Linked DNA regions of Coturnix japonica. The main gene of each other region encodes a partner of the protein of the gene in region 3 in a complex. Links are inferred from orthologs where the notes say so. Each region holds a gene or a part of one and is shown on either strand. Other genes may lie near its edges. The genes, in order: ALYREF, SARNP, CHTOP, THOC7, THOC3, THOC5 and THOC2.

What was found.
Region 1: CHTOP (region 3) and ALYREF share a complex: the UniProt entries of both Homo sapiens proteins name them as parts of the transcription/export (TREX) complex. The link is inferred for Coturnix japonica from reciprocal best matches to the Homo sapiens genes CHTOP and ALYREF.
Region 2: CHTOP (region 3) and SARNP share a complex: the UniProt entries of both Homo sapiens proteins name them as parts of the transcription/export (TREX) complex. The link is inferred for Coturnix japonica from reciprocal best matches to the Homo sapiens genes CHTOP and SARNP.
Region 4: CHTOP (region 3) and THOC7 share a complex: the UniProt entries of both Homo sapiens proteins name them as parts of the transcription/export (TREX) complex. The link is inferred for Coturnix japonica from reciprocal best matches to the Homo sapiens genes CHTOP and THOC7.
Region 5: CHTOP (region 3) and THOC3 share a complex: the UniProt entries of both Homo sapiens proteins name them as parts of the transcription/export (TREX) complex. The link is inferred for Coturnix japonica from reciprocal best matches to the Homo sapiens genes CHTOP and THOC3.
Region 6: CHTOP (region 3) and THOC5 share a complex: the UniProt entries of both Homo sapiens proteins name them as parts of the transcription/export (TREX) complex. The link is inferred for Coturnix japonica from reciprocal best matches to the Homo sapiens genes CHTOP and THOC5.
Region 7: CHTOP (region 3) and THOC2 share a complex: the UniProt entries of both Homo sapiens proteins name them as parts of the transcription/export (TREX) complex. The link is inferred for Coturnix japonica from reciprocal best matches to the Homo sapiens genes CHTOP and THOC2.

The regions. Positions count from the first base shown.
Region 1 is NC_029533.1:4,449,609-4,451,726, reverse strand, and holds the end of ALYREF (THO complex subunit 4), read right to left. Parts: coding exon 2,048-2,118; intron 1,954-2,047; coding exon 1,890-1,953; intron 1,737-1,889; coding exon 1,559-1,736; intron 786-1,558; coding exon 771-785; 3' UTR 501-770; downstream 1-500. UniProt on the Homo sapiens protein: Functions as an mRNA export adapter; component of the transcription/export (TREX) complex which is thought to couple mRNA transcription, processing and nuclear export, and specifically associates with spliced mRNA and not with unspliced pre-mRNA.
Region 2 is NC_029544.1:1,002,719-1,006,691, forward strand, and holds the start of SARNP (SAP domain-containing ribonucleoprotein), read left to right. Parts: upstream 1-1,173; 5' UTR 1,174-1,267; coding exon 1,268-1,303; intron 1,304-1,738; coding exon 1,739-1,838; intron 1,839-2,070; coding exon 2,071-2,117; intron 2,118-3,231; coding exon 3,232-3,299; intron 3,300-3,973. UniProt on the Homo sapiens protein: Binds both single-stranded and double-stranded DNA with higher affinity for the single-stranded form. Specifically binds to scaffold/matrix attachment region DNA. Also binds single-stranded RNA. Enhances RNA unwinding activity of DDX39A.
Region 3 is NC_029540.1:1,241,118-1,244,263, forward strand, and holds the end of CHTOP (chromatin target of PRMT1 protein), read left to right. Parts: exon of another isoform or gene 1-785; intron 786-791; coding exon 792-978; intron 979-1,085; coding exon 1,086-1,223; intron 1,224-2,184; coding exon 2,185-2,387; 3' UTR 2,388-2,646; downstream 2,647-3,146. UniProt on the Homo sapiens protein: Plays an important role in the ligand-dependent activation of estrogen receptor target genes. May play a role in the silencing of fetal globin genes.
Region 4 is NC_029527.1:10,990,640-10,994,600, forward strand, and holds the start of THOC7 (THO complex subunit 7 homolog), read right to left. Parts: upstream 2,801-3,961; 5' UTR 2,710-2,800; coding exon 2,691-2,709; intron 2,390-2,690; coding exon 2,272-2,389; intron 1,366-2,271; coding exon 1,238-1,365; intron 920-1,237; coding exon 833-919; intron 1-832. UniProt on the Homo sapiens protein: Component of the THO subcomplex of the TREX complex which is thought to couple mRNA transcription, processing and nuclear export, and which specifically associates with spliced mRNA and not with unspliced pre-mRNA.
Region 5 is NC_029528.1:12,224,398-12,228,685, reverse strand, and holds the start of THOC3 (THO complex subunit 3), read right to left. Parts: upstream 2,801-4,288; 5' UTR 2,696-2,800; coding exon 2,513-2,695; intron 2,273-2,512; coding exon 2,116-2,272; intron 1,492-2,115; coding exon 1,287-1,491; intron 1,020-1,286; coding exon 858-1,019; intron 769-857; coding exon 668-768; intron 344-667; coding exon 180-343; 3' UTR 1-179. Other genes in the region: SIMC1 (SUMO-interacting motif-containing protein 1), read left to right, coding at 3,008-3,019, 3,170-3,892, 4,086-4,288. UniProt on the Homo sapiens protein: Component of the THO subcomplex of the TREX complex which is thought to couple mRNA transcription, processing and nuclear export, and which specifically associates with spliced mRNA and not with unspliced pre-mRNA.
Region 6 is NC_029530.1:9,918,897-9,922,880, reverse strand, and holds the start of THOC5 (THO complex subunit 5 homolog), read right to left. Parts: upstream 2,801-3,984; 5' UTR 2,556-2,800; coding exon 2,463-2,555; intron 2,047-2,462; coding exon 1,903-2,046; intron 1,465-1,902; coding exon 1,351-1,464; intron 1,083-1,350; coding exon 985-1,082; intron 906-984; coding exon 759-905; intron 1-758. Other genes in the region: NIPSNAP1 (protein NipSnap homolog 1), read right to left, coding at 3,336-3,400, 3,471-3,554, 3,676-3,770, 3,945-3,976. UniProt on the Homo sapiens protein: Component of the THO subcomplex of the TREX complex which is thought to couple mRNA transcription, processing and nuclear export, and which specifically associates with spliced mRNA and not with unspliced pre-mRNA.
Region 7 is NC_029519.1:14,682,029-14,685,528, reverse strand, and holds part of THOC2 (THO complex subunit 2), read right to left. Parts: coding exon 3,389-3,500; intron 2,731-3,388; coding exon 2,455-2,730; intron 1,679-2,454; coding exon 1,537-1,678; intron 934-1,536; coding exon 776-933; intron 1-775. UniProt on the Homo sapiens protein: Component of the THO subcomplex of the TREX complex which is thought to couple mRNA transcription, processing and nuclear export, and which specifically associates with spliced mRNA and not with unspliced pre-mRNA.

The DNA.
Region 1 (2,118 bases), on a different chromosome or scaffold from region 3:
ACCATTTATGGAGAATCTATTTGAAGCCAGCGGGTCCCCACCCGGCTCCGGTCCGACAGCGGCGGCCGGGGCGGCCTCAAGGCACGAAGGCGCCGCTCTTCGCTCCGCTCCCCGCCGCGCACCCGGACGGCGCCCGCTGCCCCCTCGGCCGCGCCCCGGACCCTGGCGTGGCGCTGAGCCCGCGGGACCCGGCCCGGCCGCAGCGCACATGGCGGATCCCGGCGCCCCCCGCCCCGCTCCCTTGGCCCCGCCCCGCCCGGTCCCGCCGTCCCGGCCGCTCTCACCGTCCGCGCCGCGGTCCAACGCCGCCGGGATCCGCCCAGCCGCCCGCGCACCCCCGCACTTCCGGGACACGCCCGTCACTTCCCGTTATACGAGGGCGTGTCCCGCTCCTCACTTCCTGCCTCGACGCTGCGTTCTGATTGGCTCAGGGAGTACGCGCGCGTTCGCCGCGCAGCGCGGGCGCGGGAAAGGAGCGCGCGGCAGGGAGCAGGCGGAGCTCTAGACACGGTTCTATTTTATTACGGCAAAGGTGAAAAAGCCACCTCGGCCCAACAGGCAACCAGTAAAATTTATCCCAAAAATAACTCGGTACAAAACGGGTCTGGCTTCAGAATTAAAAAAAACCTTTACATGAGTTTAAAACCTATTCCAAAACATAAAAGTAAAACAAATCCCATCCTTGATATTAGTAGCCACAGTCGCACACCCCTCCCGCCACACAGCATGGAATGAGATGTCTGCAGTCCTTCCATGCGCCGCTCAACGCTTTAGCTGGTGTCCATCTGGAAGAGAACAGAGAGGAGCGTCAGCAGCCACCATGACCCCATAACCCACCATGGCCCCATAACCCACCACGGCCCCATAACCCACCATGACCCCACAACCCACCATGGCCCCACAACCCCCCAGCTCCATCCCCAACCCTGACACCCCCCAGCCCTGCCTGCCAACCCCAGGATGCTGCTGCCTCAATGGCGGAGATGCAGCCCAATCCACAGCACACACTGAGCAGACCTAAACTGCACCTCAGTGCTTGGGCCAAGTCCCTGCATCACTTCTTAACTGATTCTCAGTTAAGACTTTAGTCTTGTTGTGGCACAATATCTGAGCTCATTCTGAATGAAAGAAACCATGTGCACTGCTCTGCTCATCCACCTGCATTAGGGGTGATCAGCATCATTGACTTTTTTTCCTTTCTTAGCACCAAGCTGGTTATTTTATGTGTTTTTTCTTTTTGCTTTTCATTTTTCCAGCCTATTATCCCTTTGGGCTTTGGTTCATAGCTTTCGTTCATCACACATCTTGATTACTGCCAATTCTGGTTGACACAGGCTTCAACAAGCCAGGAGAAGTTGGAAAAGGGGCTATTTATTACTCATGAGTAACAGTAGATGTGGAGAGCTAAGGCAGCTGAAGGAACAGGGCAATGCTCAGCTTTAGAGGGAGGCTATTTAAGTCAAATGACCTGAAAAACAATTTCTCTTTCCAGCCAGCTGCCAGTGTTTATCAAAAGGACGCTGTAGGTACCCGTGACCATCATGTGAGCAGCACTTACCCTGGCATTGTAAGCATCCAGCTGTGCATCTAGTTCTTCTGCAGAGAGCTGCTGTTTGGAAGTTCTTCCAGCCCCTCTGCCTCTCCCTCTGCTCCCACCACGACTACCTCGCCTGGTACCTCCACCACCAAATCCTCCTGTACCACCACGGTTTCTGGTCATTCCACCTCTGTTTACACTGTGATTTTTAAAAAGCAACTGTTATAGTGCATTCTGGTTAACCCCAACAGGCACTCAGAAGGTTGCAGGACACGAGGAGGATTCCATGCTTCCTACACAGGCCAGTTCACTCCCCGTGCTGACTGGCACAGCGACTCCCGCGGCTTCTCACCTCTGTGCTGGTCTCCTCTGTGTATCTATCTGTGATGTAACCAGCTGAATGTTCATGGGGCGCCCTGCAGGAAAAGCAGCCAGTTACCCTGTGAGTGTGGCAGGCACACAGATGCCATCAGCCGTGCAGAGAAGCACACGACAGCCACAGAGACTCACCATCCAAGGGGACTCCATTGTACTGCTTCATAGCTTTCAGAGCATCTGCTTTCCTTTCAAAATGCACATCT
Region 2 (3,973 bases), on a different chromosome or scaffold from region 3:
TTGGCAACAGAGAAGGCAAGAGTAGCATGAATGGGGCTGGAGGAAAGGCAGGGAGAGCTGTGCAGAGCCGTGCTGTGGGGTATAAACGTGCTCTGTGCGCTCTCACAGCTGCTTCCCAGGCCAAGAAGCTCCTGTCAGCAATGGACTCCCCACAGAACTCTGGCTCTGGATGCATTCCTTGAGCCCCAGCACTTCCCACACCCGAATACAAAGCTCAGCACCCAGCCCAGCGATGCTGACACGGCTGATAAACCAAACTGTGACCCAGCACAACCCGCGACTCACCAGGTTGTGAATGACGTTGGTGAGAGTCCACACCACGGGGACGCTGAAGAAGGGGATGCTGAGCAGGACGACGTGAAGCAGCCAACGCCAAGATGTAGGACAGCCAGATGCCACGGCTGTTCATCACCCGCGTGTTGGGGTTCACCTCGCTGTGAGCCACGCCGACGTTCATCTACAAAGAACCCAATGCTGATTTAGGGCCCTAATACACCTTAAGGCCCGATTTATGGACCCTTTATGGACCATTCCCAGAACATGAGGCGATTCCAGCCCTGATTCCTCCCATAATAACCTATGGAGTGGCACCACCATGCACTGGGCCTGGGCCCGGCCTATTGGGCCTGTTGGGCCTATGGGGCCTATGGAGCCTATTGGGCCTATGGGGCCTATTGGGCCTATTGGGCCTGTGGGGCCTATTGGGTCTATGGGGCCTATTGGGCCTATGGGGCCTATTGGGCCTATGGGGCCTATTGGGCCTGTTGGGCCTATGGGGCCTATTGGGCCTGTTGGGCCCGGCCTGGTCCTCGCTCCATCAATGAGGCCTCAGAACCAAAAACCGACCCTAAATCCCCCATTCTCCCGGCCTTAATCACACCCTCCCGGTCCTTCAGCCCCGCTCAATCCCGGTTCCGACCCCGGTTCCGGTCCCGGTTCCGATCCCGGCCCGTTTTACCCTCCAGCTCCGTTGATGCCGTTGTCAAAACCCGGCCCGCTCGTCTCCAGGAAGTCACCTCACTCCCGACCCGCTGCTCCCATTGGCTGCTCAGTGGAGTTTCTCCTCTACTATTGGTCATTTTGCCTGTCATTCAACATCGCCTCACCCCCCGCCCTCCGGTGGACCAATAGCAAACATGAGGAGCCGGTGGGAGCTAACCAATCGCAAGGAGCGATGTTGAAATCACCCGTTCAGAAAGCTCAGTTGTGATTGGACGCTGGGCAGCCGGCGGGGGCGGAGCCGGCAGCGAGCTGTGGGGGCGACAAGATGGCGGCGGAGACTGTGGAGCTCCACAAGTTGAAGGTAGAGGCCGCTCCGTTCATAACGGCAGCTTTGCGGTTTGGCCATCGCTTTGTACACACGGAGGGGTTTGTTATACTTGAGTTGTGGTGTGGGCTTGCTCAGGTCCCGGTGATGCTGCCGGTAACGGGGCTATGGGGGAGGTTGGGCCTTGGAGGCGCTCCGGTATCGCCTTCTATATAGGGCCGCCTTCTGTCTATAGGGCCGCGCTCTGTGAGGCCTCGGGGCCCGTTACGAGGCCTCAGGCCCGGCCTGAAATCAATAGATAACAGGGGGTGAATCTGGGCCTGGCTGCATTAAAACGGGAGTGAGGAGGAAGGAAGGAGGGAGACATTAAAGCTCCTTCTAAAGGCTGTTAAAATACGATGCTTTGATGCTGTGTTATATGTGATATGAGTGAATCCCTCCTACTAACCGGCTCCTCTCCATCCCCATCAGTTGGCTGAGCTGAAGCAGGAATGTCTCGCCCGCGGGCTGGAGGCGAAGGGCAACAAACAGGATCTGATCAACAGGCTGCAGGCCTACCTGGAGGAGCACGGTGGGTACCGGGTACCTGCGGGTCACAGCGCTCATAACCAACCCCCTGGGGGCAGATTCAATGCTGTCAATGGCGAAGAGATCCCTCAGGCAACGGCTGTTGTGTGGGGTGTTGAATGGAGCTGAGCATCCCCTGTTTCATCATCAGAAATTCATCGTTTCTTTATCTGAGAAGCCGAAGGCGTCGCTCAGTCATTTGTATCAGCGACTGACCCGCTGTTTTTCTTCTTTAGCTGAAGAAGAAGCCAACGAAGAGGATGTTCTGGGGGAAGAAATAGAGGTAAAGCTGAGGGATGGGATGTTGTGTTGGCGGTGTGCGGCCTCTGGGTGGCTGTGTTGGGCATTGATGGGCCAGAGCAGTGCAATGAGCAGCAGCAGTGCAGGAGATCTGTTGGGCTTGGGGCTGTGCTGGGCTTGGGGCTGTGCTGAGTTTGAGGCTCTGCTGTGCTTGGGGCTGTGCTGGGCTTGGGGCTGTGCTGAGCACTGTTGGATCTGAATCGGCCAGTTTTGGTGCTGGGGGCTCAGTGCTGCTGTGTTTGCATGGAGAATGAATGAGTGCACGGTGGTTTCTGTATGAGCTCGTGGTCACGATACGTGGCTGGTGTTTTAGGAGGGGGAATTCTGCCTCTTTTCAGCAGGAAACGTGCTGTTGTTGTGTGTTTGTTAACAGCAAATCTATTGGGGTTTGTTGTGCTTCTGGTAAGGAATCCCTAACAACAAACTGGTGCCCTGATAGTGGGCAGAGCTGCAGGAGGGGACTGAGCCTCAGAATTGGACCTTTATGTTCTGGGACGTACAGATATCCCAGCTTAAAACACGAGCAGAAAGCAGCTCTGCTGCTCAGCACACATCTCTGCAGGGACATATGTGGTGCATGGGAGCTCTCCCCAGTTGTCTATGAAGTTCTTGGTGGGAGAATTGAAGTGGACCTCATTGGATGAGTGTCTGACACTGAGCGTGAGCACTGTGTGCTTCTGATGCTCTTTACTTGCAGGCCTGAGAATGTCTCAGTTGGGATAATTTCCTAAGCCTGTGAATCCCAAACTGTTGGGTAAGGCTTTGGGGGGTAAAAAAGAGAAGAACAAGCAATTCCTGTCCATAAGGTTGCTCATACCCTGCATTATTGAGCAGAGTCAGACCCCATTGGGGAGGAGGAGATTTCAAGCACACAAGTAGGAGACAGCAGCATGGGGAGACGCAGCTGCTTGGGTTCCCTGGTGATGTGTGGTCTCACCAGCTGCTCTAGCATGAAATTCAGATACTTATGGGTATGTTCAGGCTGTACTACAGGCATGTTGCCTCTGAGGACCCAGAAGAGCCATTGCTGCCCTTATTGTGATGTTTTGCTCTTGCTGAGTTGCTCTCTGACCTCCTCCCAACTCGTTGCTTTGCAGGAAGAAGAGCAGAAACCAGCAGAGCCACCCGCCAAAGTAGAAGAGCCTCCTGTAAAAACGCCTGATGTGTAACTATCCCTTTCTACTTAATCCAAAGCAAAACTTGTGGGGGATGCTGTAACACAAGAGATGCATGGCAGGGGAGAGCTCTGCCTGCCCCTAATGCTTGCAGGCTCTTTTTAAGGCTCTGTGAGCCCATCCTGTGGCTGGAGGGGCTGCAGTAAGGGGAGCTGGAGTTCTGTGGCCTGATGGCTTTGCTGGGGGGGAGCTGTGTGGGAGCCCTCAGAGCGGGGAGAGCGCCTGGCCCCAGCCAAATTGCTTCCTGTGAAAGTGTCATTAAACCATTACTACCTTTCAGGGCATAAAATGAGAAACCTGTCCAGGAATCTGGAACAAAAGCAGCGCGTTTTTCTAAATGGGAGACCTTAATGAGGCTGGCTGTGACCTACTGTTTTATGGGAGTTTTTTAGAGGAGGATGATGCTATTTCATTTAGCCTGGGAACTTCCGAACTTTGTCTCTTCCTCCTTTGTTTTTTCCCCCCCCTCCCCTCGAGCCCAAGCTCTGTTTTCTGAGCATAAACTTTAGAGCACGCCCACTCCATTATATTTTTGTTCGCTCTTTTTACTGGTCCTGCTGTTGTCAGCTGCACATTGTTCAGGAAGTGTGTGTTTGAAATGGAGCCTGAGCCCAGGACGTTGGTGCTGACCTGGGGAGAGCTGCCTGGGGCTGTCCCATGAACT
Region 3 (3,146 bases):
TGATGCTGTGTGACTTGAGCTGGTTAATATCACTGAGTTAATTTCTTTGCTGGCTGTTGATATCTCCTCTCTATTTTTTCAGAGATATGTTGGTCATTCTGGGGTTCTGGATCTGCTGAGTGCTTCATCTCTCAATGTAGCTGCAGTAACACTTGCAGATTGCTCCCAGCCCTTAGAGCCCACTGCTCCCATCCCCACCTCCACCCCCTGGTGGTGCAGCTGGCTGCGAGGACCCAGATGAACCAAACTGATAACATGGAGGCTTGCAAATGCCAGGCTGCAGGCCTGGGTTTAAGGAATAGCATTACGTTTTCCTTGTGCAAGTGTCTTAATCCCTCGTCTCAGTGGGGAACGCTGCAGGTTGTGGAGTGTTTGTTGAATTAACCCCATATGAAGTGGGGATAGCTTTGAATTCTCTGCTCCCCCACAGCTATATCAAGGGGTTGGCATGGTCTGCTCGTTGTCAGGCTGTTCCAAGCTTTAATTGAGATGAGGAAGTTGGAGAGATGGACTTCAATGTGTTACTTCACATGCAGGGAGAGCCCTGGGAAGCTCTGAGCTGCTTCACATAGCTGGAATGCTTGAACCTCACTTAATCTCTGATAAGAAGGAAGGCAGCTGTGCATTTGATTGCCTTCCATTTCCAGCACTGCAGACAGCTGGGAGCCCTCTGCTTTCAGAACACAACCCCCAACCTTTTCTCACTTAAGTGCCAATAAGGAACTGCTTTGCTTTCCTTGCCGTCCCCAGATTGCTGCATGACTTTCTTGTTGTTTAACAATCTATTCCAGAAGAGCTTGAAGCAACGCCTCGGGAAAAGCAACATCCAAGCACGACTGGGCCGCCCTGCAGGCCCCATTGCACGCGGAGCTATGGGGGGAAGAGGACTCGCTATGGGGCAGAGAGGTTTGCCACGAGGAGCCATGCGTGGGGGCCGGGGAGGCAGAGCTCTGCTGAGAGGAGGGCTCCCATTGCGAGGTCAGTGCTGGGATATGGGGGGGTTTCTGGGTTCTGTTGTGTCATATTGTACTGCAGCCTTTTGTAATGGGGTGTGAGAAGTGATGGGTGCTGTTGCTGTGTTGCAGGTCAGGGCCTGCTGCGGGGAGGCCGAGGAATGGCCCCCAGGATGGGGCTGAGAAGAGGAGGGCTGCGGGGCCGCGGGGGGCCGGGCAGAGGTGCTATGGGGCGAGGAGCCATGGGGCGAGGAGGACTCGGCGCCAGAGGTCAGTGGGCAACAACCCCAGCAGCTTGAAACAAGCATCAGCTCTCACCCTATTGCACTGCTCACTTAGAGCTGCTTGACCCTAAATGCTTCGCCAGGCCTCGTGCCTAACCCAGATCCCTCGCCGTGGTGTTGCTTATATGGGGTTCTGGGATCTGCCCCAGCAGATGTGCAGTGCTTCGAATGGGAGCACAGGGCTTGTTTGTGCTGTTTCCATGCTTGAATAATGCATGGGCTGCGTAAAGCAGGGCTGGGGGGGTCAGCTCAGTGCTGTCTCCTGGGGTAGCAGCTAAATAGGAGGTGTTTCCCCATATAAGTCAGCAATTAATGCCTCCTAAATAGGAGGTATTTCCCCATATAAGTCAGCCCTTAATGCCTCCTAAAGGTGAGAGCTGTGGATGGGGGTATCCCAAAGCCTGACATCCTACACACAGCACAGGGCTTGGAACTAAATGATGTGGGCACAAAGAGAGCTGGGGGGGCACAGCAGATCCCAAACCCTATAGGGCTGAAACCAAAGCAAGGCAGGGAATGGGGGGCTGTGGGGAAGGAATTGGGGGGCTGTGGGGCTGGAATTGGGGGGCTGTGGGGGTGGAATTGGGGGGCTGTGGGGGTGGAATGGGGGCTGTGGGGCTGGATTTGGGGTTATGGGGTGGGCTGTGGGGGTGGAATGGGGGGCTGTGGGTTGGAATGGGGGTTATGGGGTGGGCTGTGGGAGTGGAATGGGGGGCAGCAGGGGAATGGGAGCTGTGGGTCTGGAATGGGGGCTGTGGGGGTGGAATGGGGGGCTGTGAAGTGGGTTGTGGGGTGGAATGGGGGTTATGAGGTGGACTGTGGGGTGGAATGGGGGCTATGGGGTGGGTTGTGGGGTGGGCTGTGGGGCTATGGGGTGGGCTGTGGGGCAGCAAGTCTCTACCCAGCCCCCCACCCACATCCCTTAACCCTCGTGCTGTCTCTCTAAGGCCGTGGCATGGCAGGTCGGGGAAGGGGCGGCTTCGGAGGCCGCGGCAGAGGACGAGGCCGAGGCAGAGGATCAACCCGACCTGCACTGACCAAGGAACAGCTGGACAACCAGTTGGATGCTTACATGTCCAAAACTAAAGGACACCTGGACGCCGAGCTGGACGCCTACATGGCACAGACAGACCCCGAAAGCAACGACTGAAGGGCTGATTGCACTGACTGCTGTGGAAGGTGGGGTGTTATCCCATCCCCTAAGGAACGAACCCCCCCATTGAGGCTGGGAGGACCCACGGGAGCAGGGGGGGCTGCCCCGTTGTACCAGAACTTGAGTACGTTTTCCTTGCCTGGTTTTTGTTTTGATACTCTTTTAATTTTTTAATGTTGGCGTGAAAACCCTTTTTTTGGGATTATTATCTATTATTTACTCTCCTACCTTAAAAGTGTTCTGAATGAGAATCTGACAGCTGTGATACAGTCCATCCTATGGGCCTGCAGTCCACCCTATGGGGCCGTGGTCTGTCTATAGGGCCGCAGTCCATCCTATGGGGCCGCAGTCCATCCTATGGGGCCTGCAGACCATCCTATGGGGCCGTGGTCCATCTATGGGGCCATGGTCTGTCTATGGGGCCTGCAGTCCATCCTATGGGGCCTGCAGTCCATCCTATGGGGCCGCGGTCCATCCTATGGGGCCTGCAGCACATCCTATGGGGCCGCAGTCCATCTATAGGGCCGCAGTCCATCTGTGGTGCCTGCAGTCCATCTATGGGGCTGTGTTTTGGGATGGGAATCGACCCCCCCCCATTCACTTGTATTGAGCCCATGGAGCTCAGAGCCCACAGCTCAGCTCTCAATGCTTTTCCTTACCGCCCCCTCCCCATCCCAATGCTGCTGGGGGGGGTTGTTATGGGGTTTTTCTGCCCCCCCCCAACCCGGTTCGGTTCTGTTCTGTGAGCTCCTCCAT
Region 4 (3,961 bases), on a different chromosome or scaffold from region 3:
ACATTCAGATGGAAAACGTGGGCAGAACATCTTCAAAAGCAAACACTTCAGATCCGTGCTTGTGAAGATTTAAGTACTCTACTTTCCTACTGCTTAAGGCTTTTTTCAGTCTCTAATAATAGAGTCTAACATTATCCACAAATCATATGTGCATGTGTTTTTAAAGGTTTTAAAACCTTTCACCTGTTACAGCTGGTCTTTCTTTCTTTCTTTTCAACTATTTTTACATTTCACTTTTTAGGAAGCAAAATTTTACCTTCCCAATTGCTAAATTTTGATAAGACTTACAGGGCAATGTTTTAAATTTCAACTAAAAATATCAGTATGTCTTTTAAGGATAAGGAACAGATGTCTGTAATACCTGGTTTAGAGGTATTTTGCAAGGCCATGTAAAATGAGTATGCAACTGGTACAACTGTTCTTGTATTAGGTACTACTTTTCCTTCTAAAGAGCTGAAGGAATATACTTATATAACTTTCAGTGTTGGTTGTAAGCTTATTTAACTCTTTTGTCTTGCTGCTACTAATGTGCTTTAGTTCTTAAGCCAACTGAATTGTCAAAGGATGCTTGGGAGGGTTTCTTTGGCTTGAGAACACCTCTGAGCTACTCTCTAAGTTCTCCTCATGTTACATCACTAAGATTTACTGCCTTAACCTCAACAACCAAACTTTCAGCAGTCTGTGTGGAACCTACCAGATAATGCTCTATGTAGCATCGATGGAGAGCATTTTCTTCTGAGTTTTCAAGAAATATGTCATCTGTTTTCCAGTACAATGTATTTTAAAAGATAACACATTAATAAAACCACCCAGTGTAGATAATGCTGCTTACCCTGGCGATTCTTTCTAATTCTTTTTGCTTGCAGGATTTGTTTCTTGCATTCAGAAATCTTCTCGTGTGCTGCAGCTATACTATTTTCTTTAACAGAAAGACACAAATCAAACAACAAACGCCATCAATCCATTCAGCTAAATCATCACAAACAGCACTTTGTATTTTATACTGCCTGCTATCTCCACGGGCTTCAAAACCATCTATGCCTTGACAGACTAAAAACATATTTTACTTATACACATTTTACACACTGACAAAACACGAGGGCAAGTATGAGTGGTATTAAAATAGTTTTTCTGTCACCCATCTCATGTTTACATTTTGTTTATCAGAACTGACTTGAGTTTCTTTATGAAAGAGAAATTCAAATAAGCATAGAATATTTTTTTTCTCATTTTTTACCTATATCCTTGTAGATCTTTTCATAATTTTCCATCTCTCTCAGGTTCATGTCATACACCAGAAGAGTTTTTCCCATTGAAAATTCACACTGCGATAAAGTACTCAGCATTCGTTGGTACTGACTGTAACTGAAAGCAAACAAGACATTTATTCCTCAGCAGCATGAAAATACCTGCCTGTTTTTATATCACGAGGAAAATGAAGCCTCAGGTAATGTACGGAACAGTTAAAACAGCAATTACTAAAGCAATAAAGGACTTCAAAGATTCAGTGCACAACTGCAAAAAGTACAGTTAAAAATGAATGCTGCACCGATTAATTTTATCATCATAAAGGTATAAAGCAGCATTACAGCATGGGCAGATTGCTCCAGGGATGATACTCTTCCCAACTAGAGCCAGCTCTGTGCCCACCACGATTAATATTTTAACACTCCAGTGCTTCTCTGTGCACAGCATCATCACAGAGTGCCCTCCTGCACTCCAGCATCGGCACAGACCCTACTGCAGAACAACATGTTGCTTAACCTTTAGTTCTTTGGCCTGTTTGTTTTCTTCTTTCTTTTCAGGGCAGTACAGCAGAAGCAGCACAGCCCCCACCTAACAGAACAAATGCAGAGCCACCAAATGGAACACTCAAGTCGTGATCCTGCTGTAATAATGGGACTGCTGAATCGTGAAGCAACGTGCCAACCTCCAGAGCCTTCGCTGTTAGATTTCAGGATGGTTTGCTCTGTAATTTTTGACCCATCTCCAGTGCATGTTTCTTGCCACAGCTCCTGGGCTTTGTCCAGAGAACCACACAGGGCTGAACATAGCAGAGATCATAGAATGGCTATGAATAGGACTGTAATGATCATCTAGTTTCAACCCCCTCCTGTGTGCAAGGTTGCCAACCACCGGAGCCCAGAGCCACATCCAGCCCAAATGGATGCATTTTAACACAGTTTACTTTCTTTGTCTAAACAGATGCTCAGTTTTATGCTCAACTGCAAAGCAATGAGGTTTCAAGACTTAAAAACAGCCAACAAATACCCTTCCTCCTGAGATCCAGAGTTACACCACTTGATGAAACTCTTCACCAGCAGATTGATCCGCCTGTCGTCCCCAGCTCCGTCTCCATCAATGAGAAGCCGTTTGCGGATAACTTCATCTGTGGGAAAAAAAACAACTCGTGTTTAGCGCTCCGTGCTGGAAGCGTGTGGCACGGCAGGAGCTCACCCAGCAGAATGTGGGTGAAATAAAACGCGTTCAATACGCGGGGCCTGGGATCGGCAGGGAGGCTGGGCCCGAGAGGCCCGATGGAGCCCCAGGCCCCGGCACTGAGCGCAGCGGAGCGGCCTGGAAGCGCTCCATGCGGGGTGAGGCCGCCGCGCAGGGGTGCGTGGCTTCCCCGGGGTGAGAAACCCGGAGCGGGGACAGCGAGAGGGAGGGCAGGAGGGAGGAGGTCTCACCGTCGGTCACGGCCCCCATGGCGGCGAGCGGCGGAGCCGGCGGGGCGGCGGCAGCAGCGAGTGAGGTCAGCTTCCCACAATGCAGCCGGAGAGAGCGGCGGCCATGGAGGGGGAGGCGGCGGCGGCGGCTGGGGCCTGAGCCGGCTGGCGGCGAACGCGCGGCCCATCGGCGGGGAGGGCCGGCCGGGAGGCCCGCACCCCGCGCGGAACCGGCCCCCTGGCGAGGGGCGGCCCCGCCAGGTGAGAGGCCGACGGGGGAGGGAAGCGGAGGTCCCCGCGCCCGCAGCCAGGCTCCACCTCCCAACCACCGCGCCCACGACCCCGCCGCCCCCCTCCTGGGCCGCCCCGCCATGCCCTCGGCACATGGCCCTCGCCCTTCGACGCCTGGCATCGAGGCGTGGGGCCGGCGCTGTGGGCTGAGGGGAGATGGGCTGAGCGCCTCGGGTCACGCTTGGGATGAGTCCCTGGTGTGTGGCTTGACACAAGAGGCTGAGCATTGGGGCAAGGGAAGGATGTGGAATGTTGTTCCTGAGGTGTTTCCTGGGGTGCTGTGCTGTGGGTGGTAACCAGAGCGGGTTGTTCCTATATGGAAAAGTGAACCGGTGCTGGGGTGTGCCGGGAGAAAAGAGGTATTAAGCTGTTGGATGAGATCAAGTGTTGGGTTTTCGCCTTTTGGACCAAAATGTTGACACCTGTGCCATGCTAAAGTTGATAATGTTACTTTAAGATACATTGGTACAATAATGATATGTGAGATGCATGTCCAGGCCCTGACATCTTGGCATTACCTTCTCCTCTTGGTTGGACACTAAGTACATGCAGACTCATTCTGCTTGTTGCTGTGTATTAAGAGAAAATGGGTGTAAGGAAGAAAGAACCGTGTCAGCATGTAGTGTCATCTCCATCTTCCTGGTTTTAGAGCCCTGAGTGACGACGGGTTCTTTTGTTCTGGATAGAGATGTATAACAGGGGTTTACATATTACTAGATTGTTGCAAGCCAGCACTTTGACTTGTGAAGTGGCACCTGGTAGGTTCTTTGCGAGGCACTATTGGGAAGGGCTACAGAGAGTGGTCATTAAAGCTCCATCTGGATTGAAGGTATTTCCAGTGTAGAAAAACTGGGTAAATATGCTGCTTTCTTGATATTTTTATGTATCTCTGCGTGATTTGTGAGTGATATAATTTGATGTGAAAAGTGGCGCTTTCCTACCCTACTTAGATCTCCTATCTTCAGCATCTTGGAGCATCCTGGTCTTATCAACACTTAATA
Region 5 (4,288 bases), on a different chromosome or scaffold from region 3:
CTTTTTACAAATGCTTCTGAGAGCAGCACACGTGGAGCTGAGACAAAGGGGACGGCACTGACAAGCAGGTAAGGAGAGGACCCACATCCTTACCCCATCCTATGCTAACTAAGCACTCTTCCATCCCCGAGCGTGGGGAAGTGTTGTGGCCCCTGGTTCCCTGCCCTGCTGCAGTTCCATTAGGAGTCATTGGGGAGCCCGAAGAGCTTAACAGTGCCTGCTTCTCGGCTGCTGTCGTATTTGCCATCTTTGTCGTCACAGGCGAAGGCCAGCAGAGGCCTCTTCGGGTGCCAGGCCACAGTGAAGGTAGGGGACTCACACTGCACCTCCCAGAGCTTCTCTCCTGCACAGAAAAGGGCCCACATCAGCCTGGAGCCTCCTGCTCTCCACTGCAGGCTGACCCGCAGCACACAACGCAGCTAAACACCTGCCTCTTCCCTCCCACGCAGGGCAGAGGAGGAACAAACGCTGCTTCAGCGCCTTTTAATCGCCTGGTGACAAGGCATGGACATGACACGCATATCGACAGCGGTCTGATGAGGCAGAGGCTCCCCCTCTCGGTGCTCTACTGCACACAGCCAAGCCGTTTCTTCCCGTGCCCTCCCAGCCACACCAGCACACCTCCATCAGCTTCCCTTGTTTCTGTTTCCCAAAAGCAAACCATTACCTGTCTCCACCTCTGCAATGTCAATGAAGTGATCCTCCGACGCCGATGCCAGCATCTTCCCATCATGGCTAAAGCTCAGTGTTCGCACAGGCCAGTCAAGCCTGCAGCATTAGAGCAAAGCTGACAGTGAGTGAACCCCCATGGAGTCACCAGAGAGGGGAGCAAATAGCTCCGACACAGCACTACCTACCTGGAGAAGCACCTCACACACACCAGCTCATCCACATCCCAGAGGCTGACCAGAGCATCAGCACTGCCTGTGGCAAAGTACTTCCCCATGGGATCGAACTTGATGCAGATGCAGTTGGAAGGATGGGCATTGATGGACTGAATGGGTTTCAGTTCTGGGTAGCTGCAGAGATGAAGGGAGAGGGCAGGAAACAGTGAGAGAAGCACAGGGCTGCTGTGCAAGCAGGGCAGGTGTGAGACATGCAGGGACCAGGTGTGAAACAAAACACTGCAGGGTGAGTTTGCTGCCATCACAGTGACTGGGAATCACTGGGATGTGGGACTCTGGTTCCACCAAAGCAGCAGAGTGGTGCAAACTGCCTCCACAAGCAGCGATGCACGAGGGCAGCCAACCCTGGTACCCTGCCCAGCAGCTGCCACAGGCACCCACCTGAGGATGTTGATGCAGCCATTCCCATTAGTGAGGAAGAACATGTTGTTATCGTTGTTCCAGGAGATCTCGTTCACCTCAAACTTGAACTGTTCCTCTGCTTTGGAGCGATGCGTCTTGGCGTCGATGAAGGTGACAACATCATCCTTGTTCCCCACCGCAATGGTCTGCCCGTCAGGGCTCCAACAGATGTTGATGTTCTCCCCTAGAGGGACAGAAAAGCAGCAGGTCCCATTTCCACCCAGCAGTTTGCAAGAGTCACAGTGGCAGGAGGCTTTTGTTTCTGATTTGAGGCCACAGTCTGCTCTGCTAACTCTGAATCACTCCCAGATGGGAAGAACTGCCAGGTCTGCAATTTAACACTGAAACTCTGCACTGAAAATTAAACTGAGAGCTGTAGCTTTGAGCCAATATGACTGCATTGCCATCCCTTCCCTTTAGACACAGTAACCACAAAGCAAGATCAAATCAAAAGACCCTCTTAACCCAGTGATCCCCGATATGCAGAACATCCAACAGTACACGCGTGTGAACAAGGACCAAGCAGTGCTGCAGATATGCCACCTTACAACTCCATTCTCAACCCTGACAGTTGGAAGACTCACATTTCTTAGGCCAGAGGCGGTAGCTGGGCTAATCAACCCATTAATAAGAATGGCTGCTTTATGAATCCATGTAAACTCAGACTTCTGCCACATCTCTCTGCACACACACGTTCCCCAGCCACCAGCCTCTTGCCCATAGATTCCAGACAAGCTCCCGTGACCCTTTAACAGAGTGTGATAGGAAACCAAAAGCAGCAAAGACCTCTCAATGTCAGGGGCCCCACCTTTGGTGTTGACGGTGGCAATGCACTTAGTGGTGCGGACGTCCCAGATGCGGATGGTTTTGTCCCCGGACGCGGTGACGAAGAGGTCGGGGTTGCTGGGATGCCAGCAGAGCTGATCCACGCTGTCACCGTGACCTCGGTAGTTGTTCTCTTTTACCTGGAAAAGGAGGAGAGCCGTAGTCCCATCATCCCTGGAGGTGCCAAAGGCCACGCGTAGGGCCCAGGGCAGCTCGATTGAGGGGGCGTGAGCCACCCATAGCAGGGCTGGGGGGGCTCTTAAGGGTCTTTCCAACACAGCCATGTGTTGGAAGCATTGCAGGGTGGCCGCCCTGCCCAGCACCCCGCTCCCGTTCCGTCTCTCAGTCCCACCCGCTCCCGGCCCGCTCCCCCCGCTCACCAGCCGGTCCTTCTCCAGCAGGAACACGCTGGCTGTCTTATCGAACGATCCCGACGCGAGTCTGCGGCCGCAGCAGCTCCACGCCACGGAGTGAACCTTGGCTCCGTGAGCCGGGAACTCGCGGCTGCGCGTGTTGGCTCGGAACAGCTCCTGCATGGCCTGCACGTACGGAGACAGCGCCATCCCGCCCCAACGCGCCGCCCGCCCCGCCGCCCTGACGCAGCTTCCGCCGGCCCGGCCCTATGAAGCCCCGACCCCCAGCAGAACGGAGGGCGGGGGGTTGCCGGGCATCCGTCGGCCGCTGTTCCGTCACGGCAGTTGGTGCCCGGTAACGAGGGGACGCGGCGGGCAGAGCGGGCATCGGGGCTGCACGGCGCCCTACGAGGGGAGACGGAAGGGCCGCGGGCAGGAAACATGGATTGAAATTGGTTTTCTTTTGCAGGTCTTGACAAAAGGCTCCGTGGTGTCGTAGCTCCAGAGCCGTGCTGCGATGCGATGGATGTGAAGGTAGTGCTGGATACAAGGGGGGGCTGTTAGCGGGGTGCAGGGCCCATGGCCGGGCTCCGGGTTTCTCTAAGGGATCCCCAGTTGAGCAGGGGAGGAGCGAGGCACCCAGCTGTTATCATTGCTGACTGACTGACCCTTTTGTCCCCACAGGAGATCATTGATCTCACCCAGGAGGACTCAAACTCAGAGCCACTGCCATGGAACTACATCCCCATCATTGACCTGACAAAGGAGGACACCTGCAGTCCTCCCCCGGCTGCAGATTGTACTGCCCAGGACCAGCTGTGTGCTCCCCCCATCACACACACGTCTCATCCCCAGCTTTGCTTCAGCACAAAGAAAAATACGGAGACGAACACAGAGCTGAGCCCTGCAGCACCCTTACACGGCTATCCCACATGGCCTGGTACAGACACAGCAGGAAAAACAGACAACAAGAGCAGCTTCTCTCCTGCCTTCAGCCACCACAGCTTCTCCTGCAAGCAAGAACCGAGCTACAGCACCACCACGTATAACACTGACTTGAGTTCCCTGACCAACACACAGCCAGATCAAGTGCTGTTCTCACCACCCCCCCCCATCCTGGACAGTAATGGCAGCACACGCAGCATAGAGGAGAGTCCCCCTCATTTCCAACGAAGGGAGCTCCCTCCAAGACTGAGCCCTGCTCCAGCCAGCGTCACCAAGAGCCCAGGGAAGGTCAAAAGGACTTTTTTGGAAGCAGGTGTCTCACAAGGAGCAATCCGACATGGGACCTCAGCCAGGACTAATTCTGACAGCATGGCCTGGCTGAACAAACTGCGCTATTTCAGAAGGAGCGGAGTCCAGCACCTCTTCTTTCACGGTGCAACATCTGACAGGGGAACACCACAGGTAAATGGGTTCAGAGCAGCTACTGCCCAGCCAGGTCCACTCAGAGCAGGGGAAAAACTTCCAGGGGAAGTTTTGCCAGGCCATTGGGATCTCTGGCTATTGCAATTCTCTTAATGGTGGGCCTCAAATCACTGCTAGGTTCCTCTGTACCGTGGGGGGCTGGCTTTCACCCATTGCCTTACCTTGCACACAGCGGAAACCTGAGCTCATCCCCAGCAGTAAGATGAGCATGGTACGCACCACCATGGAGGAGAACTTCCTGGAGGGAACCTTGCATTTCTTGAGTGACTTCATCTCCAGCCAGCACTGCCCTCCTAAAGAAATCATCTCCCATCTGATCAGACACATCCTGTTGCACACCCACCAGGAGGAGATCCTCCAGAACACCTACACGCT
Region 6 (3,984 bases), on a different chromosome or scaffold from region 3:
CAGTGTTTTATTGTGCAGCTCAATTGAACTTTTCTTCACCTTCTACACAGCTTGCAATGAACAAGAAGTACTGAGGAGAATCCTAAAAGAAATCCCCAGGTTGAGCAGTCTTCTGCAAGCTTCTGCAGCACCTCTTATTAGTCTGCTATTCTGGGCTGTGTTGTTCCTATAGCATCTACTGGCAGCTTAGACCGATCCTTCTGCTGGATGCTACAAAGAATTATGGTATGTCTGTTCTTTTGCCTGGCCCTGAGTCAGCTGAGGGATGATGGGGATCAGATCCTGCATTGGGATGGTGCCACAAGCAGATGAACCAAGACACTCAAACTCATTCTTCACACCACAGCACAGCAGACAAAACAGACATTGCTTTGTTCTACATGGCTCATCTTGCAGAACAGGGTCCTGGATCGAAGTGCATGGCTGCCCATCCTTAAATATCACCGCCACGCTGGTGAAGGCCTTGTTCCCTGCTGCAACAGTCTCTGAGCAGACACACTGGTCACACCAGAAGGAGTGGGCACGTGTGGATTTATTGGATGGCTAAAATACCTCTGCTGTCATAACCCAAGGGGTGAATCTTCATAACAAGGACACAGTCACACAATAAATCTGACACTTCCTCCACAGGGATCATTTTGAAATGCTGTAAAAACCTTTATCTTTGGTGTCTGCTTCGCCAAGGGGCTGCACAGCCTGGGCTGTCTGTAGGGAGCACTGTTCTGCAGCTCAGAAAGGGGGATGTGGAATGGACCCACCTCTTACGCTGCTCCAGTTCCCAGTCCAGGCGGGCGAGGGTCTGCTGGTGGGGTTCTGTCAGGGTGATGTCAGGTCGGCTGATTTCGGTGGGAGCTTCACTGTAAAACTCCTCCAGGCTCACCAGTTCGATCTCCTCATGCTTCGATCTGCAGAGACAGAACACCTGGATCAGGGAAGGGTGGCAAACACACACAGTCACTCCTTTTCCTTCCCAGCCAAACTCACTTGAACTCCAAGCACTTGGTGATCTCTTTCTGTAGGTGCATCACCTCGTAAAGCAAATTCTGGAGCTGCAGGTGATAGGCATCAACCTTCTGCTTTGCCTAAAACACAGACACAGCCAGTGACCACAGCTGGATGGGACATATGCATCTGACTCACTGCCACGTGAGATGGGAGAAGATGGTCCTCTTTTGTAAGATATTGCAATTACTACCCCTGCCTTCCTGCAGAAAAGCCTCCTAGCAAACCTCTAGCACAGAAAGCACCACCTGGCTGACGTTTGGTTCTGCACATGCACACACAGGCAGCAGAAACTGCAGCATCTCTGCTCTTTAAAACCATGTCCTGTGCTCAGTGCCCACTCCGTACCTCATGGGTCTGATCTCGTCCCTTCTTCAGCCGAATGTGAGCCAGCCGGTTGAGCTTCTTCAGGGTCATGAAGTGCACACAGCTCTGAACGCGTCGCTCGTCTATCTCAGAGGCCTAAGAGGCAGGAAGGAAATGGCTGAAGCAGCACAGAATCACCCTGCACAGAGCTCCTGCTGCAGCCTTTTCTTTGAGCACTGAGACAAGCGGGGCCCTGTGCTCCTCTGCAGGGCAGTGCTGATGTTACTGGGGTTCCTGAGGAGCATCACGTTGCTGGACACAACTAGAGGGCTTTATAGTATCCACAGGAACTCAGTTCTGCCCCCGGGAGTCCCAGCCCATGGGCACACGTCCCAGCCATGCCTTGGAGGTCAGTAACTCTGAGCAATGACTGCTCAAAGACCACACTCCTCAGCTACATCATACTTCATTTTATTTAAGACAGACTGTTCCGTTTTCCTCATTTTCCCCAGAACGTGGCACGGCTGCTGCTCCTTTCAAATTACATGATAAATAAGAGATCGCATTAAACCAAGCACTCGGGGCTCTCCTTACATTGTCCTTGACGCCTCTGCTCTTCAGCTCCTGGATTTCTGCCATGAGTCTCTGTAGCTCCTGGCACGTCTCTTTGTAGAGCTCATAGTCCTTGATGGGGTCCCGCAGATCCACCTCACACTCCTCACTGTAGTACTGAGCATCCTGCAAAGGGCAAAAAGTACCCGCACTGCTCGCTCCCATATGTTCACAAACAATAGGAAACACACGGCTGGGGTGTAATGCTGCATTCTTTGCAGCATTAGCCTGAGATTTCATACATTGAATGGCAGCTCAGTAACCAAACCAGGACACAAACACCTGGAAAGCAGAGGCTGCCTGTTCATGTAGTTATTGTGAATGTGAAGGGTTGCCTGAGCTGACGCAGTGTGGAAGCCCCGTGATCTGAAGGTCTGAGCCCTCACCGTGCTCCGCGGTAATGCAGGCATCCTGAAGGCCCATGCAGCCTCCTGCTGAGCACCGCGTGTCCTCACCGAGCCGGCACCGCAGCGGGGCGGTCCCAGCGGGTCGGCTGGGACCCAGCACTGTTCGGCACATCCTCATTCCCGGCCACCCTTTACCTGCTCTCCATCCTTGCCCCGCTTGCCCTCCTGCGGGCCCCCGTCCGTTCGGATCACCTTAGGCTTCCTCTTCTTGCTGGACTCCGAGGACATGGCGCTGCGGGGACCAGGCCGCCCCTCTTCAAGCGGGCCCAGGCGAGGCCTCCAGCACTTCTACCTCACCGGGGCACCACGTTCCGGCCCTTCAGCTCCAGGTACCCGCTCCCGACCACCGGGACCCCCCCGGGAGCTCCGTCCGTGTTCACTCAGGACCCCCCGAACGAACCGCACGAGCTGTGGTGCAGCCCCGCGCCCACCCCGCCGCCCGCCTCAGCGCACCCCGGAAGTGACGTCGCGGAGCAGACGAGTGCGGCCCATCGATGCGGTGACAGCGCCCCCTGCTCTCGGAGGACTGGAGCTGCAGTGGGCGTGGCCTGTAAAGGGGGCGTGGCCTGTAAAGGGGGCGTGGCCTGCACGGTGTCCCCTATAGCACCAGGGATATTGTGGAGGGTCTCAGCGTTAAGGCCCACTCATGTATTAGGGTCCCTATGTCCCGAATGCTCCCTATTCCCCAGACACAGACGCTGGCAATTAAATATTTAATTGGCGACACCCCCCCCCCACAGCCCGGCGGGGACAGGCACCCGACGAGCAGCTCGTTAGCGGTAATTATGAGCAGCCCCCAGCCCAGCTCTCAGGAGGATTCTGAGGGCTTGTCCTTTGCATGGAGGGCAATGGCAACATGGGGCACACCTGCAGGTCCCCACAAATAGGGGGGAGAAGAGCCCAGGGGGGTCAGAGTCTCAACCTTCATCCCCCTCAGTCCCCCCTCAATGGGAGGAGATGCCCCCAGCACTTCCCAGCAGAGCTGGGGCAGGCAGCACGTGTCCCATCTCACTGCAGCGGGGAGATCTTCAGGGGGATCATGATCCGGGACTCCATCGTCCGAATCAGCGGCACTGCAAAACACAGCGGGGTCAGCTCACAGCTCACAGCACAGCAGGGGCAGCCCCAGCCCCGTGTGCTCACCCGTGTAATAGACGTTCTCATCCCAGCCCCGCTTCCTCCACGCTGCGTTCCTTGTCTCCTCACGGGACTGCAGGTCCTTGTAGGCTGCAGGGGGGGAAACCTCGTTCTTAACCCCCCTGCAACCCCCAGGGAATGGTGTGTGGGGTTTGGGGTGCACAAGGTGATGGTAGTGCCAGGGTGGGGTAGGTGAGATGAGCCCGCTTACCCCAGAGGTGGTGCACGACGTACAGCTCCCCGATCTGAGAGAAGAAGCCACCCACTGCCTCCTGGTTCTCCTGGCGGTACTTTATGGCCCGAGCCCTGGCAGAACAGAGAGAAACACTGAGCTGCTGCTCAGCTCTAATGTCCCCATGCTAAGGATGGCCAAGGCTTCATCTGTGCCACCACCACAGGAACAAGGATGCAGGAGTGGGTCCAAGGGCCAGCATCACTTGGCCATATGCAGAACAGCAGCTGGATAAAGCAGCCACTCACCAGTTATTGCCCCACTCGATCATGGTCCCTGGCTGCAAAC
Region 7 (3,500 bases), on a different chromosome or scaffold from region 3:
TCTTTTGGACCAATGAAATCAGAGCAGATCCCTACTTCAAAAGTCTCAAAGGTAACCTGACAACTTTTAGTCAAATGTTCATGCAAAAAACAAAAACTCTTCACTATAGTTTTCATAATGAAGCCCCACACAAATTTGTTGCAACCATACAGATGATTGTTAATTATTAACTAAATAATCTGGCTTCTTTGAGCAGAAAGCACCAGAAAGGTTCTGAAGTCACAGAATAGTACAGTGAGCCAGTTCTGCTGGAGCTGTTTGATCCAGAAAATCAGGTTACTGCAGTCATCAGTAACACTTGTGGTATCACATTTCTATGTCTCAGCAGTAATAAAAATTAATCCCATCACCAGAGTCAGTGTCCCAAGAACTACGCTTGTCAGGGCAAGCTTAAAGGAGGCTGTGTACAGCAGCACAGTACACAACTGAAGGTGGAGAGTTAGAAAAAAAAAATCACAGAAATGCAGATCACTGCAAGGCTTTGAAATGTGAATGTAGTTTGTATGACTGCTGACCACTTTCCCTTAGAAGTTTAGCTGTCTTAGAATAAATCAGAAGGAAAAAAAAAAAACCACTTGAAAATAATCCTCAGGTCTAGGAGAGAGAGAACTTCATTTGTGGAACAGGAAGCATAAAAGGGACCTTCTCACTTCCACAATAGATTTTAAAATTAAATGCAAGTAATGACTTCGTTGAGATTGCTTTTGGAAAGGAAAGAGGATACTAATTTTATGTGCTTATAACAATACATACACAGAGAGCTTTCAATACTTACTCTATCATAACAGAGAAGTGTGGAGAAGTTGGGTGTTTTCTGCTGATGAACCAGTTCTACAAAGTGAGCACAATAAACCGCATCTATTGCCGAAAAAATGCAGCGAGGAAATATACATAACTGCAAAAACTTTGTGATAGTCTCATTTTTGGTAGACTCTGCAAAAGCAAAGAAATAGAAGAAAAAAGTTAGTACATTAATGGGTAAGCAATTAAACTACTACTCCCCAAAAATTCAGTATTTCATATCATATTCTCCAGTTTGTAATCCTGACATATCTTTGACACTACTCAAAGTCAAAATAAGCTTTTTAATCTTTGAGGAACAGGCAAAATGGTAGAAATATTCTAGCAGACCTTTATTTCTTACAGCAAAAAATCTTTTGTTACAATGGAAAAAAGCTCAGAAAAATTACCATAAACTCCTTCAATTACTGAGATTCTGCATACTGCTCCTCATCACTGTGCTCAAAGTTAACTCTAATCACTCACTGGCTGTTCACATTTCTATGACCTGCAATACAGCAACTGATGTGCAAACCCTCTTGTAACTATCACCTCACATCAAATCCGTCCTGCTCTTATTTTCTAAGTCAGTACAATATTAAAAGGCCTTGCCATTGCAAGAAGCAAATAAAACATCTCCCTAAAAGGAACTACTCAGCATTTACAAAGACACACTACATTCAAATTAGAAGTTACTTCATGGCAGAACTGAACTTTTAGTTCTGGGGACAGCAACAACTACATACACACACTTACTTGCCAGAAGCCAGTTATCCTTCTCTAATTTCAGTCTCTGTAAAACTCTTTGAACGTGCTCTAGCTGTTTCTTCTCCTCTTCAAGGAGCTTGTCCTGAAGAGCAGTGCAACGTTCTTTTTCTTTTTTCTTTTTATTTGGAGGCTGTAAAATGTCAATGCAATTCATTTAATATACTTACACTAATACTACTTACACTAGGTACAGAGCAATTAAATGTCTGGTAATGCTGAGAAATATGTGAAAAGCTATTTCTCTAAATAGCATTCAGCTCTAATTGTGAGCTGATTCATTAACAATGGATAACTAATGATGTTAAGTGAACAGCCAAAGTACAGATACAGATGTGACAAGACTTATCTGAAAGACAAGATTTTCCACTAATTTTTATTTAATGGAGCCACTGGTAGTTTTGAAGCTGGAATTGTAAGGAAGTCTAAAGCATGTAACCATGAGAAATCGGAATGGATGAATCAGCTGACACAAACCTCTATCAACAGACCAATTTATTCAGTTAACACAGGTTTAACTTTGGTTGGCTTAACCCGAAAATATGATTACATAAAACAGATGAAACTCCAAGTAAATGACTAACTCAGAGTAGAACTTTGTCATCCTGTCATGCACTACAAGTCAGCAGTTCATTTTTCATAGATTTCTACCAAAATAAATGCCTACCTACCACCATGGAGTCTACTTTACTCTACAAAAGAGAGCAATATTTAAAATGCAAATTATGCATAGATAACTTGCAGTTGCAGGAAAGGTTTCATCTCTGCTGGGAGACAACCAGTAATGCTATCAGTGATATCAGTGTGTGAAGATAACTCCCTTCCTTAGCACAAAGGAAAACTTATATCTTAATGTAGGATTTAATGAAAAGTGAAACCGGAGCAAAAGAAGAGAAATCACAAACATACCATTTCCTGATTGTCATCTATGGCTTTCATCTGGACTTTAAGTTTATTGACTTCTCTGTCATAGCTGCTGTGTGGGACAGCAAGGTCATACATAGTCAGAGACCAGAATGTGGCATAAAACTGAGGACTGATGTCATCCCAAACCTTGGGAGGGTGCAGAGAGATCACAGCTTCATGAACGGGAGCCATCACCAGTTCACATGCTGTAATGTATTTGTGAACTTTGTGTTGCTGTTTATTTCCCTTTTCAGCTTTTTTAAGTTCATCATACTTGGACTGGGGAAAAAAAAAAATGAAAAAAGAAAACAAAAGTTTGTTACCTCCATATGTGAACCAAATTTAATTCAGCTTCTCAGAAAATTTTCTATGAAAATCATCTTTACAAAACAAAATTTATATACAATTTTATGTATACTTTTAGTATGCATCCATGCTGCATATCATCCTCACTGATGCTATCATCTTTCAGCTCACTACTTCTTACAGCAAGGTATTATATTATGCTGAAAAACTGTTTTCAATACTTTTTTTAGTTGCAGGGACAAATTTATCTTGCCTCTTCCTTTTATACCTCACCTTTTGACAGCTGCAGCATTTCTCTCCACAGCAAGAAACATCTAAAATAGCCACAAAAAACTACATATTTGGGGAAATCTGGGTGGGAGAACTCTTGATCACCCAAATTATCAAAAGAGTTGAAATCATTAGCTACAACTGCTATCACTTGTGCAAAAGCTGGCACATGGCCTATATTTTCCCTATGAAGATAAAGCAGAATCTCTTCCAAACCACAGCTTCTGGTTCTACCTCAACTGTTCAAAAAAGCACCTAGAACTCTTATTCAGTAGACAATCTGTGCAGGATCCCAACACAATTATAACATGTAAATGGGCATCTCGTAACAGTAGACAGAAATGAAACGAGTTCTACTTACTGAAATTTGGTGCGCATACATGGGTCTTGAAAGGAAAAATGCAGCATCATGAGGCGTGTGAAACTCATTACAAAGAACATCAATTGAAGGCACTCGCTTAATGTAATCCTCT